3 linked regions of the Arabidopsis thaliana genome follow. The protein of the gene in region 2 interacts with the protein of the main gene of each other region in a pairwise test. Each region holds a gene or a part of one and is shown on either strand. Other genes may lie near its edges.

The links. Proteins that work in one complex are often made in the same cells at the same time.
Region 1: the proteins of Cand8 (region 2) and RUS3 interact in a protein complementation assay, tested with the Arabidopsis thaliana proteins (one large-scale study listed by BioGRID).
Region 3: the proteins of Cand8 (region 2) and AT2G28315 interact in a protein complementation assay, tested with the Arabidopsis thaliana proteins (one large-scale study listed by BioGRID).

Annotation. Positions count from the first base shown.
Region 1 is NC_003070.9:4,719,980-4,725,041, reverse strand, and holds RUS3 (root UVB sensitive protein (Protein of unknown function, DUF647)), read right to left. Parts: upstream 3,469-5,062; 5' UTR 3,326-3,468; coding exon 3,204-3,325; exon of another isoform or gene 3,095-3,203; coding exon 3,037-3,094; intron 2,957-3,036; coding exon 2,897-2,956; intron 2,821-2,896; coding exon 2,782-2,820; intron 2,692-2,781; coding exon 2,629-2,691; intron 2,529-2,628; coding exon 2,472-2,528; intron 2,360-2,471; coding exon 2,296-2,359; intron 2,201-2,295; coding exon 2,117-2,200; intron 2,025-2,116; coding exon 1,942-2,024; intron 1,852-1,941; coding exon 1,722-1,851; intron 1,647-1,721; coding exon 1,554-1,646; intron 1,432-1,553; coding exon 1,293-1,431; intron 1,222-1,292; coding exon 1,178-1,221; coding exon of another isoform or gene 1,077-1,177; coding exon 889-1,076; intron 796-888; coding exon 697-795; 3' UTR 527-696; downstream 1-526. Other genes in the region: AT1G13780 (F-box/RNI-like/FBD-like domains-containing protein), read right to left, coding at 1-269, 350-361; AT1G13760 (uncharacterized protein), read left to right, coding at 3,941-4,079, 4,619-4,677.
Region 2 is NC_003076.8:9,571,546-9,575,735, forward strand, and holds Cand8 (Protein of unknown function, transmembrane-40), read right to left. Parts: upstream 2,591-4,190; 5' UTR 2,531-2,590; coding exon 2,255-2,530; intron 1,812-2,254; coding exon 1,620-1,811; intron 1,459-1,619; coding exon 1,296-1,458; intron 1,206-1,295; coding exon 1,103-1,205; intron 1,019-1,102; coding exon 937-1,018; intron 866-936; coding exon 788-865; 3' UTR 521-787; downstream 1-520. Other genes in the region: ACP5 (acyl carrier protein 5), read left to right, coding at 1-31, 116-238, 316-444. UniProt on the Arabidopsis thaliana protein: G-protein coupled receptor. Plays a role in plants and microbes interactions.
Region 3 is NC_003071.7:12,087,081-12,091,291, forward strand, and holds AT2G28315 (Nucleotide/sugar transporter family protein), read left to right. Parts: upstream 1-1,586; 5' UTR 1,587-1,815; coding exon 1,816-1,936; intron 1,937-2,052; coding exon 2,053-2,237; intron 2,238-2,317; coding exon 2,318-2,385; intron 2,386-2,473; coding exon 2,474-2,606; intron 2,607-2,689; coding exon 2,690-2,851; intron 2,852-3,045; coding exon 3,046-3,315; coding exon of another isoform or gene 3,316-3,324; exon of another isoform or gene 3,325-3,400; coding exon 3,401-3,490; 3' UTR 3,491-3,685; downstream 3,686-4,211. Other genes in the region: AT2G28310 (trimethylguanosine synthase (DUF707)), read left to right, coding at 1-63, 154-210, 305-371, 462-515, 605-808. UniProt on the Arabidopsis thaliana protein: Nucleotide-sugar transporter that transports UDP-xylose and UMP in a strict counter-exchange mode.

The DNA of each region.
Region 1 (5,062 bases), on a different chromosome or scaffold from region 2:
CTACTGTAATCTACCTTGAATTTTTGAAGACGTGACTCATTGTTAAACTGGAGAAATCTGTCAATGAAATCAATCAACAGTTTTTCGTTGTTGTTCTGAAAGGGGAAATCACGGCAGTTCAAATCAAGTCCGGGAACATTAAGCCATAGATTCTTCCATCTAGTCGATAAAACACTCGTCTTCACAGAAGCTTTAGTCGGAAGGTGTAACAGTATTTGACTAATCAAAGATTCCGGCAATTCGCTAATTCTATCAAACCCAGGCATGACCTAATAGCATTAACAAACAATAAATTAATCGAATTCCAAAAACTAGGGTACAAGTGTCTGACTATAAACGAAATACTCACCGTGGATTCCATTCGCCGGCGGAATTATTGGCCGGAGTTGTGGAATTAGCTTCAGCTACGAGCTAAACGATGAACATGAAGTGATAATGAAAGAGAATCACAAAATTGAAGTATTTATACGTTCGAAGCGGTTCCGATTCCAATTTTTGCGTTTCCAAAAAAATAAAACGGTTGCCATTATTATAATTCTTTAATTTTCCATTAATAACAAACGTTATACAATGTTAAACCGACATTTTACGGTTAAACCGGTATCGGTTACATGTTTTACATGACTTAGAACTAACATATTTTTGTATGTTTGCAACGAGTTAACAAACTATTTTGATCTTGAAAGGCGATAAAGCTCAGTCGAACTTAGCAGCGGAAGTGTGAGATATCCAATTAGCTCTCCAAGTAATGGAAGGCGAAAGAAGACGCTCTGTTTTCCAACCTCCTGATCTCAGCTACATGGGAAACAACAGAAAGAAAAAGAGTGAAAACAGTAGCTTTAGTGTCATAAAAACACGGTTTAACTGGTCCTAGTGATTTAATCTTACCTTGTGGAGCAATTCGTCATAGTGTTTATCAATCCAAGCTTCTCCTTCTGAATAAAAAGATGTGCTCTTTTCCATAAGGTTTGCCAAAACAATGGCATGAATATATGATTTCAACACATCTGCAGGTTTTGAATCTTTGTGCAAGATCACACTAACATTTCCCTTTATGTGAGCCAATAAATACTTAGCTGCAGGAGTGTACAACAACAGACAAGAACCGAGCTTACGTCAAGTATGGACAGAGAAACTAATGTCCTTGAAAGATTGTGGAAAAATAAATCAATCAAACCATTCTTGTATGAAGAAGCTCCAACACCATTTAGCAGCTGCAACCTGCACACAAATATGTCAAGCTTGAGCCGATTCTTTACCCGAAAATTATGATAATCTAGTATAGAGCTTACATATCTAGACGAGGGAGAGAGGAAACTCTCACACCTAACTGCACTCTCTTATGCAATGGCTTTGAATTCGTTGACCTCAATGAAGTGGCCCACAAGGGCAATACACCCTCCATTGAAGAAACCTGTTCGGGAGAGAGAACTGGCAACACGTTTAGTTAAAGAAAGTTATTGGTATATGGTGCAATAATAAAGAGAAACCAATAAAAAACAAAGGAAAGCCACTGAAAACTTGAAAGAATCAATGGCGCATTTCGAAATTACCTTGGCCAGTTTGAATGAAATGTGTTAGAAGAATTGAACTCCTCTCAAAGTTTAATGAATTCAATACAAGACACCGGACAGCTCTATAGTTTGCTAAATATATAAGAAAGGCAAACAGTGAGAGAAATTCTGATTTGATCTATGCTTTAACCTTCATTTGTGACTTACCATACATATGAAACACGGTGAGAGAGAGAAACGAAAGCCAAATAGCCATAGGGTTTCCAGAGGTAAACCGAGCTAGCAACATTCCCAATGACATACCCATCATAGTTGCCATAGTCTCTTGGCTTCCTTCCTTTCAATAGATAAAATAGAAGCAAAGAATTACTCAAAGTTCACATTTATAGTTTCTATATCATTCACAGTGACAAGAAGTAAAGAGTACCTTAGCAGATATATCCGCTGCATTGTCTTGAAGAGCAAAGTGCTGTGTTAGAGCTGCTCTGGTTGCTCCACTTGCAACACCAGCTAATAGCCAAGATTGAAAAAAGTTAAAAACCGATGTATCAATCCAAACCGAAGTCTTAACTTCAATGTTTGATGCAAGAAATGATACGCACTAAATGATCTTGATAGGCTCCCTAAGCAAACCACAACGATAAAGGCAGATGGAAACAAAGGAGAAAGAAGGTCCATTAGCATTCCTGCAATAAAAGCAACAAAGCTTGTAGTCATTCAACTGAGAACCAAATACAGGCAATTAGTATCAAGTGTGATGTGACAACTAACTTTTACATACCAATATCATTCATAAGGTCAGCAACTAGGCGCCACATTTTTGCATTGCTATCCAGGTTGGAACCCTGAAGAACAGAACAGTTCCCATTAAATAAGAACGTAACCAATCTAAATCTTAAAGAAAAGGGAAGAGAATCGATGTGTATTATGATTGGGAAGAATCTGCTACATAGGCACCTGATAAAATGTGAACAATATACCTCCAAGCATCCCAGTAAAATCCCTCAGAAACCACTGCATAATACACAAGATAGAATCACTATTCTCCATTGCGCTTTATAGTTCTTGAGAGAACTAGTGTGAAATGTTATATGTAAGCAATGGAAAAACTCACCTGAAATGTAGCACCTATAACAGTTGCGGATTTCTCACCAACGCCAATTGCACTCAAAAGAGCCTGAAAATAGTCCAAATCAGAAATGCTGCAGCAGACAAATTGGACCAAAATAGAGAACTCAGAAGCTCAAAAACTTTAGCTTTAGCTCACCTGAGTGGAAAGCATCATCTTTGTATAAGTTGAGAGGCCCTGCAACAAACATAGCCGAGAGTCACAATTCAAATTTCACAGTAGCTATAAGGCATACAAGCATATTCTCACATACCTGTAATGTGTCCCATAACTGAAACCCTACATAATCTGGAGTTACACTGCCAGGAAAGCCCTGCACTAGACAAAGTACAATTCAGCCAAACCCTAATCCGGAGGACAGATTCTAAAGGGAAAAAGAGAGAAAACACTTGCCTCTGGTACAAATGCTTGAAGAACTCGTCTCCACACATGATTAAAGCGATTAGCAGACCTATGAATCACTCACAGGAGACGAAAACCCAAGAAAGTTTCTCAATTTTGTTGTGAATCCACTGAAACTATCAGATTTGGATTGATTTCAAAGAGGAATAAAGAAGAACCTTTGGATAGAGAGAGAAGAGGAGGCAGTGATGGTTGCTGTTTTGAATAGCTTAGTGGAAGAAGAACCATTCCATTCTTCAAGAGTAATCGATCCGCAATCAGAGACTTGTTCTTCTCTCATGGCGAATTTTGGCTTCTTACGAGTGAAAAGAATCACTTATTCAAATGTTTAGACTTTATGAGTGTTTTGGACTTTGTGTTGGGTTTCAATTGCAATTGAATAGTCCAATGACCCAAATGTGATTGGACTTTGGGTTAGTAAAAGGTACGTTTTTGGCAAACGCAGGTCACATGTCCACATCATAGTCTTCTTTTGGCTCCCAATTGGATTTCTAGATTTAGAAACACTTAAACCAACAAGTCACGGAAGTGTGTGAAAGGAATGTTAATGCTAATGATCACCATATCTTTATATGCTTTGTGCCTATGTTTCTAGGTTTTGATCATCAGTCACCAACTTTATAAATGTTGTTTCCTACAAGTTATCTCTAGAACACAGTTGTATCACATTCATCTTCATCTTCAGACATTTGTTTTCATGATCTTCTTGTGAGAAATGGGAAACTTGTTGATGTTTTGGTGACTCTTGTGTCAATTCAAGAGGGAAAATCTCATCGAAAGCAACCTTTGTCAGGAGTTGCAATTCATAGGACACTGTTTGATGTGAATGAAGAAGCTTATGTCAAAGCTTCTCCAACAGTTCTCGGATTTGATGTAAAGCTTTGTGTTATTTTATATGATAAAAGCTTTACATTGCACCTTTTTCTTTGTTTCTACAGTGCTTCGATTTGTCTTACAAGAGTTAAATATGTCGATCCACCTCTACTGTGTTCTACGCCTATCAAGGTCTTTTCCTCATCAAGGTTTACTACGAGGTTTTGTGCTTCTCTTCTCTGCAATGAGTCTTAAATTTCTTTACAAATTCTTTAAAGTTTGATGTGTTACTAGTTTCTCTTCTTGTCAGGGTCTTTTAAAAGTATATGCAAACATCATTGTATTATATTAGAATATATATATATATATATATAGTATTCAGATTCATTATTTCAACTGATTAGATCTATGGAACAAATTGAGAGAGAAGAAGACAAGATTCTGAATTTGAACAGCAGCTAAAAAGCAAGAACAAATTTGACTTTTTAATTCCCTCTCAGAAAAGAAATGACGAACCCAAAAGTTCTTTCTAACTTAAGAAAAACTTGAGCAAAACTTAAGCAAAACTTAAGAAAAATTTAAGAAAAAAACATTCCATTTTCTTATCAAATTAGTTCTAATATTATCGTAGCTAGTGCTCAAATATCACCTAGGTTCATAACAGAGAAAACACATGGTACATATTTGGATTTTGGCCACAACTATTTGAGAAAAACTGTATGTATGTATTCGGGATCACGCCATCCAACCATCCTTGCAGGAGCCATTAAACGGGACTATTCATGTTGTTGCGGGAGGTGGAGGAGCCAGTCTAGATGATTTCTCTTGCATGCAGTCCAGCTGGAGCCTGCTCGGCGACAAGGACTTTGGGTTCGTCACCTTAATTGTCGTCGATCACTCTACCATTCAGTTCGAGTACAGGAGAAGCAGCGACGCAGTCATCCACGACTCTTTCGAGATAGCGAGGGAGTACAAAGAGATACTGGCGACTTTCACTTTGTAGGATAGGGAGAAATTAAAATAAAACGGCTATCTATTTTTATTTTGGACGGTTAATTGGAATAAAAATATCTGGTTTATTTAATATTGTCTTTATAAGTAAGTATTCGTGTAATAAACGATTGGTCGATTCTTAGTTTTTACTTGCGAATCTGAAGAATCTGATGATCGATGACGAAGATGATTCACTAAAGCCTCTTCTTCA
Region 2 (4,190 bases):
GATGCCTGCTCGTCTCGCAGTTTCTTGTGCAGTATGTTGATTTAACTCTATATTTCTTCGACTTTCTTGAGGCTGTTTGAATATATTTGGTAATGTGGTATATATGTGGTTTAAGGTCAAGCAAGAGACAGTAGAGAAAGTGTCTGAGATTGTCAAGAAGCAATTGTCGCTCACCGATGATCAAAAAGTCACTGCCGGAACTAAATTTACCGAGCTTGGAGCTGATTCTCTCGACACGGTAAATATCATCTCATTGTATTGTATCTCAGAGCTCATTGGACATCATCATCAACAAATTCTGCTTTCTTTTTGCAGGTTGAGATAGTGATGGGTTTGGAGGAAGAGTTCGGGATAACAATGGCGGAAGAGAGAGCAAAGGAGATTGCAACAGTCCAACAGGCTGCTGAACTCATTGAAGAACTCGTCCAAGAGAAGACTGCTTAGTTAAGGAAACAACCAAAGGCTTTTGTCTTTTGTTATTGCCGTTTGCTCAATTGTGTCATGCTTTGTTGTATGTCTTAATTTGCCCTAGTGGTTTATTATGTCAATCTTTAGACTACTACAAAACTTTCTTTTAGATTATCAGCTTAAGGAACAAAGAGATTCACAAGACATTTTGGATTTATAAAAGAGAAAGAAACATGAGGAAAAAGTACAGACATACAAAAGACTAGACCCTAAAATGTAACCCGCCAAAGCCGGAAAAAGCAGCCATGACTTCTAGGAGATCCTACCCAACGTGTATTTACAGATTGAGAAAATGAGGAAGATGTTTGTTACCCTAGTCCTATTCCCAATCAGAGTCGAAAAATCCAGCATCCTTCATCTCTGAGTAGTATACATTCTCCAAGTTCAAATCTTCTTCCTGCAGCAAACCCATTTGCATTTTAGAGAGAGTGAGAGAGTCAGTGAGAGAAGATGAATGATGATGATTACCTGGAAAAAGTCTGCGAGGAACGTTATGTAAAGAAGAGGAAGGTATAATGCGTGGTAGCAAACACTCATGATCCCATATAACCTGCAAGTATTTTGAGTTAAAAGGCAGATACAAGCTGAACATAAGACAATATTCTCTGTTGGGATGGTTTCAGATAAGAGTTACCAGAAACCAAAATGCGCGTTGTTTGCGGTAAACGCAGATGCAACTAGGTAAAGGCTGTATAAGGCGAACATGATGATTATGTAGTTGTAGAATGCAGGCCTTGCTGTTAGAAACAAGAAGACATGAATGATGATAAATAGAAAGAAACCAGTGGAGGCTATTATGGGAAGATAGAAGCGTCTGATCAACTTACCAGGCAATTTTTCTCTCCACCTAGAGTTGTACATCAAGAACACCATCCCATAAACGCCAGTGAGTAGAAGCTTATGAATGATCCATAAGCCCCATTTGAACGTTTTTCCATTTTCATTGTTGTCAATAAACAATGGCACTCCAAATCCAAAGAGAAAAATTGCCTGAATGAAGGTAAAACCCGTAAGGACTACAGAAATGGTAAGGCCTAATTCATATCAGAAAGTTTGGCAAAAGCAAAAGGAAGATCCTAAACTTGTCATTTCACCATATCTAAGATTTGTTCAGAAATGAGAAGGTATAAGAGTAGACAAAGTAGAGATACCTTGAGAAGCAAATCAAGAGCAACAATAAAACCCGAGATTAGGAACGTTCTAGTTAATGCTTCTGCACCGCTTGCATAGTTTCCTTGGAAGAGAAAAGCCACCAAGCTTACTTCCAGAAACAACATTCCAGATGTTGTGAACAAAGTTAACAGATTCCAAACAACTTCTTTCCCAGGAGTACATTCCCAACCCTATAATCAAATCCGGAAACATGATAATCAAATCAAAAGCTAACCTAGGAATATGTAAATAGATACAAGGATCACTAGCTCATTTCCATAAACCGTGATTACAATTATGATCTTCCTAACAACCCACATCTTATACCAATACAGTAACATTAAATACTTACTTCTGACCAAATTCAAGTTTCACCAACCTAGAATAGTCTTTAATATGCTCATTCATCAACAAAGTTGTCATCTTTCTGAAACATTCATTCATTACTCAATAACCTATCCAGAAACACTAAATACTATGATTTCATTCCTAACCTTATGACCAAAAAGTTTCTAATTTGAGTTTCACAGAACCTAGAAATAGTCTTAAAATACTCATCATTCAATCAAAGTTTTGATCTTTCTTAAAAAAATCTTTGTAATTCAATCAAAGTTGTGATATTTTATTAACAAACCTGGAGACAGCACCAAGCAAGATTGAGCAAGCTAACAAGCCAAAGACAACCATAATAAGCAATCATGATATAAGATCTCCGATTCGAGAGTTTAGACAGACTCTTCTTCGCTTCGTAAGCTAAGTAAGCGACGAAGAAGAGAGAAGCCGCAACGAGAACCGTGTTATGTAAGAATCCATGGCACTTATCGACCCATCTATATCCATTGGCTGTCGAATTAGGGTTTAGCGGTGAAATCAGAAATGGTGACTCTGCAATTTCGTCGAGAACTCGCATTTCATCAATGGTTACGAATCAGATAACAGAGCTAGAGCAAGGAGGAGCGAAACTGGATTTTGGAAACCTAATAAATTTGGTTTCTGACCAAATCCAAACATTGAGGTTGAAATTAGTAAATATAAGATAGTTTTGGACCTTAATGTAAATTAAACGAAGGACCTCTTCTTCTCAACAGTTTTCCGAGAAACCACTAACTAATTATTGTCTTAAAAAGACCCTCAACCACTTAAATTGAAATTACAGTAGAAACTCTATAAATTAATATTCGATAAATTAATAAATATGATAAATTAATATATTATGTCGGTTCCAATTCGGACCAATGTAAAAATTGACCAAAATCGATAAGATAATAAGATAATAATTTTCTTGAAATCTCTATGTCAAAATATGGTCCAGTAATATCATAAATTAATAATTACTAATCTTAAACATACTTTTAAAAATAATCTAGTATAATATGACTTTCGTTATATTTGTCTTTTCTTAAAATTTGAATCTCTTTGAAGTTCATCTCTAATTTTTTTTATTGCATCAAAAACTCTTGGTGTTGTCTTTTCGATATACATACAAAAGTTATGAAGAGTTCTAGACGCGATAATTGCTTCCTTACGTGTCACTATTTCAGAAAGTTTCACATTATCGTCTTCAAGTTCTTCACCAACATTATAGACAGAAATCATAATTTCTTCTAAAAACTCTGAATTTTTAAGTATGCTTCATTTGCACCTAGATATTCGAGTTGTCTATTGACATTTATTCTATTTTGAAAGAAAATAGTGTTGTATTTTGCTTAAATATTTCTATAAATTGATAAATATTAATTTATCCTATAAAATAATATTTATTAATTTATAGGATAAATTAATATCACTATAAATTAATAAAATTTCATGATCCCAATATTATTCATTTATAGAGTTTCTACTGTAGCTGATATTTGAAATCTCAGATTTATACACATGTTATAGTTGTTAAATTCACTTCATATACTATAGCTGCTAATTATATTTATATTAAAAAAAAACAATGAAATCAAAACTTGGATATACAACAGTGAATAAATATTTTTGTAACATGCTAAATCAAGCCTTGAACAGTAGGGGTCGGATGTTGACTGGTAGCAATTCTGCGGAGTAAACAAGACATTGAGGAGTACGCAACAAGTGACTTGAGATGCAAGTAACATGGAATATGTGATTGCATACTGTTTTGTAAGAAAAAACTCCTCTTCTTTGGGATAACCTTTTTCACAAAGAAAGCACAATTCTCTACCCCGGTAACCATCTACGAGTTTCTTCGTGGTTGGACTTTGGAGCTATTAGCCGTACAAATGTATCTCCAACGGCATCTTTTACATCCAACATAGTGTCTGCGAGTCTTAACACATTCATATGAGCTTCATGATATGTGAGGTAAGAAGATTCATGTAGTAACCATAAATTTAACGAGATAAAGAGTTTTGGTCTTGTGCGATAATGGTGTTTTACATGAATGGATTCAAGGGAAGTTGATGTGTCATCTTCTTATTAAGGTCTATTTAGCTATATGTGGACGAAAGAGATGTCTCGATCAAAATGGTTTCTCTTCGTTGAACATGGATCACATGATTATGCATCTTTGATTGTTGTTTCCTTTTACAAGACATTCTCCTCTT
Region 3 (4,211 bases), on a different chromosome or scaffold from region 2:
AGAGCCTAACAATGGACTCACATGGGAAATGACAAAGAGGAGAGGTGACCGGGAAGTCCATAAGTAAGATCTCCTTCTCTAACCATTCTTCTTTGCCTTTCTTTCAAATTTGGTTCTGAATTAAGAAATGTGTTGTTACTTACTGTTGAACAGAGATACAAAAGAGAAACCAGGATGGTGTAAAGACCCACATTTACCTCCATGTGCCGCGTAAGTCTCTCTTTGAAACGTTCTCTTTAGAGCAACTCAAGAGTGTTTAGTCATTGTCAGTACTGAGTTTTCTGAAAAAAATTCCCTCTCACAGGTTTGTTGAAATAATGGCGCCTGTATTTTCTCGAGAAGCATGGCGATGTGTGTGGCATATGATTCAGGTTCGTCGATCTGTAGATACATAGTCCTAGTCTTAGTCCATCAAAATAATGCTTGTTGTTTTGATCAGTTTGTTTATGTTTCTGATGCAGAATGATCTGGTTCATGGATGGGGTCTCGACTTTGCGCTTAGAAGATGCGTTGAAGTAAGTTGTTTTTGCCCCCCCCTTGCTTACCTTAATAACACAATATTCTCTTGACTGATGATGAAAATTTGTGTGTTTTGCTTTTGCAGCCTGCTCATGAGAAGATTGGTGTTGTGGATTCGCAATGGATAATACATAAAGTGATACCTTCACTTGGAAGTCAAGGAAAGTCAGAGAATGGGAAAGCTCCATGGCAAGGAGTGAGAGATAGATGCAAAATGGAATGGACAATGTTTCAGAACCGATTGGCTGATGCTGATAAAGAGTATCTTGGGAAGATGGTGAAAGATTAGATTTGTTTTTCTTTTTTCTTTCTATATAATTAATATATTAAAAAAACTTTTACTTTTGTATATCAAATATTTTACACTAAATTAGGTTTTCATAGGACATGTGTGAAGCCCTTTTTATTGATATTGTGTAAGATTTATACATTTTGATTGAGCTTTATTATGTTGTTTGTTACTTTCTCCATTTCAAATTCTTAGATGTTTTTAAAAAGAAATTGCTTTCACTAAACAAGAGAGAAGTGAAACATGTAAAAAAAAAAAACTTTAGAAAACAAAGGTGTAATAGAAGTGGTTGTTATTACATAATCTTTTTGACTTCTGAAAAGACAATAAGAAAACAAGACTTATAACCAGTTTCATGATTTATCTATTTCACCCAATTTCATAAATTGGCTATTTTATATTTGCTCTCAATAGGTAACGTAAATGGTAGAGAAATTAAGGAGAAGAGAAGGGTATTGGTATGGACTTTGGAGTGAGTGTGAAGCTTTACACCAAATCCAAATAATTTCAATTTTCATTTTAGTTTCTATTTTACAATATTTTGCCCAATAGAAAAAGTATGAGAAATTCAGTTTCACCTTCCTTTTTGCTTTTAGTTCAAGTCAATTGTTTGTCCATAGAAAACCATACAATGTCTCCCTCCATTGGCTGTTTCATTTCAGAGTCTTTTTTATGGTTAAGAATTTGCTATCATATCATTAGTAGAAGTCTCTTATGAGGAAAAACAAATATTAAGCAACATCATTATAGTTTTTCTCATGTATCTTGTGCGTAATTATGTAAATGTCATAATTATTAAAACATGAAATTAGGAAGAACAGAAGTTTGGTGTTAGACACCAACCATTTTTATACAAACAAATAATAAAAATCTCATTATATCACCTTTGCATTTCATCACTCATCACATTCACAATCCTTCTCTTTTTCTCACATCAATATATATCTCTCTTTCTCTCTCTTCATTTGATAGATTTGAAGATTTGAGAGGAGAGAGAGGAAGAAAAAATGGGAGAGATGAAGAGTATGCAAATGGGTGTGATTGGAGCATTGTTTCTATCAGTTGCATCTTCTGTCTCCATTGTCATTTGCAACAAAGCTTTGATGACCAATCTTGGTTTCCCTTTTGGTAATTACTAGTACTTTTTTTTTTTGCTTTGTGAGAATATATTTTGTAAGATCTTTATCAAAAACCCGATTATTCGTCTTAGGATTGATCGCTTTTTTGCTATGGTTTTGTTACAGCAACAACACTTACTAGTTGGCATTTGATGGTAACATATTGCACACTTCATGTGGCATATAAACTAAACTTCTTTGAGAATAAACCAATAGACATGAGAACTGTTGTTCTCTTTGGCCTCCTCAATGGCATTTCCATTGGTCTCCTCAATCTCAGCCTCGGCTTTAATTCCATCGGCTTCTATCAAGTATATATCTTCGACATACTTTTGATCATGTAACAATTATATGATTCACCAATTTGATGTTTGTCCATAACTAATGGCAGATGACCAAACTTGCTATCATACCATTCACTGTTCTTTTAGAAACCCTCTTCCTCAACAAGAAGTTCAGGTGAACCAAACTTGATACATAAGATTATTTTAATTTTTATTGTTTACATAAATAACTTTTTTTTGAATGACATATTTTGGTTTTGCAGCCAGAAGATAAAATTCTCATTGTTTTTGCTGCTAGTTGGGGTTGGTATAGCATCAATCACAGATCTTCAGCTCAATTTTGTTGGCTCTGTTCTATCTCTCCTTGCCATTGCCACAACTTGCGTCGGCCAAATTGTATGCTTTAAGTTTCATTAAACTAATGTTTAATAACTAATACATAGTATAATTAATATGACTATGAAAATGTTGTGGTGAAGCTAACAAACACTATCCAGAAGAGACTGAACGTGACATCAACACAACTCCTATACCAATCAGCCCCGTTCCAAGCTGCTATACTCTTCGTCTCGGGTCCTTTTGTCGACAAATACCTCACTAGCCTCAATGTTTTCTCCTTCCATTACTCTCCCATCGTCGTGGTAATTTTTTACATCGTTAATTCCATTTATTCCCAATTGGTGTTAAAATAGAATTAGAATCATTGTCCTGGATCGGTCCAGCCCATTTTCGCATGGCCCCTTAGAGCCGTGCCCATGTTGAGCCATGATTGTATCATAACGTCCCTAGATAGATACTAAAATTTTGTGAAATTTGACAATGATGAATCATGCAGGGGTTCATAACGTTGTCGTGTTTGATAGCGGTTTCGGTTAACTTCAGTACGTTTTTAGTGATTGGAAAGACATCTCCGGTGACATACCAAGTCTTGGGACATCTCAAAACGTGTTTGGTGCTCGCATTTGGTTACACTCTCCTTCACGATCCCTTCACTCCTCGTAATATCGCAGGAATACTCATCGCTGTCCTCGGGATGCTTCTCTACTCCTACTTCTGCTCAGTTGCTTCTAAATCCAAACAAGCCTCCTCCGATTCCACTTTTCTTGTACGTTAACCACACAAAAAGAAAAGATAGAAATAATGAGTGTTGAAAGTTTCTAAGTACTTTGGTTTTATTCCTTTTTTGACAGGGGAAAGATAGAGATACGACGCCGCTTTTGGGACAAGAAAATGAGAACCATCATGAAGCCAAGAAATTAGACAAGCATTCTCCAGTATGAAATAGTACAATAACTCTTTCTTTATGTTTCGACTCTATAATTGTGTCCCTTTTTTTTGTTCATTCATTGATAATGTTTTTGTAATTGAGAAAAAATTGAAATAGCCAATGGGCATTTTCTCTTCTTTTTTATATTTACATTTCCTATTTCATTTCCTCCTTTTTGGATCTTACAAGGATTATAAAATTATTTTCTCTCGTACGTGTTCTTTGGTTTATGTTAGTGTTCTTCAAATGATCAAATGATTGTTTTCTATTAAGAAGATAAAATAAAATAGTATAGTACTAAATAGTGTTTAAAATACAATTAGTTTCAAAACGGTTTTGGACTTTTCGGTGATTAAAATGTGATAAATTATGAAGTTTTTGAGTTTATGGAAGAAAAATGATGGGCGATTTGACATATGCATATAATTATTATCGGTTTTTAGGATAACAGGAACCAGAAATTTCTAATAATTGAAATGCTTTATGCTCTTATTTTTCCTTTCCATATAAAAAATTTAAATGCAATTTATAACATATATACATATAGATATGTATATTGTTAAATATTACATGTGCGTTACGTCTAACGTTTACGAGAATTCATCCTCTGTTCACATGCTACGTTGTCGTTGTTGTTTTATCTTTCCATGAATAGTATATGTATAACATTTTTATGTTATGGTCTTATGGACCTACAAAGAGAATTGGCAATGAAACTTTCCCTTAAAAGCGAA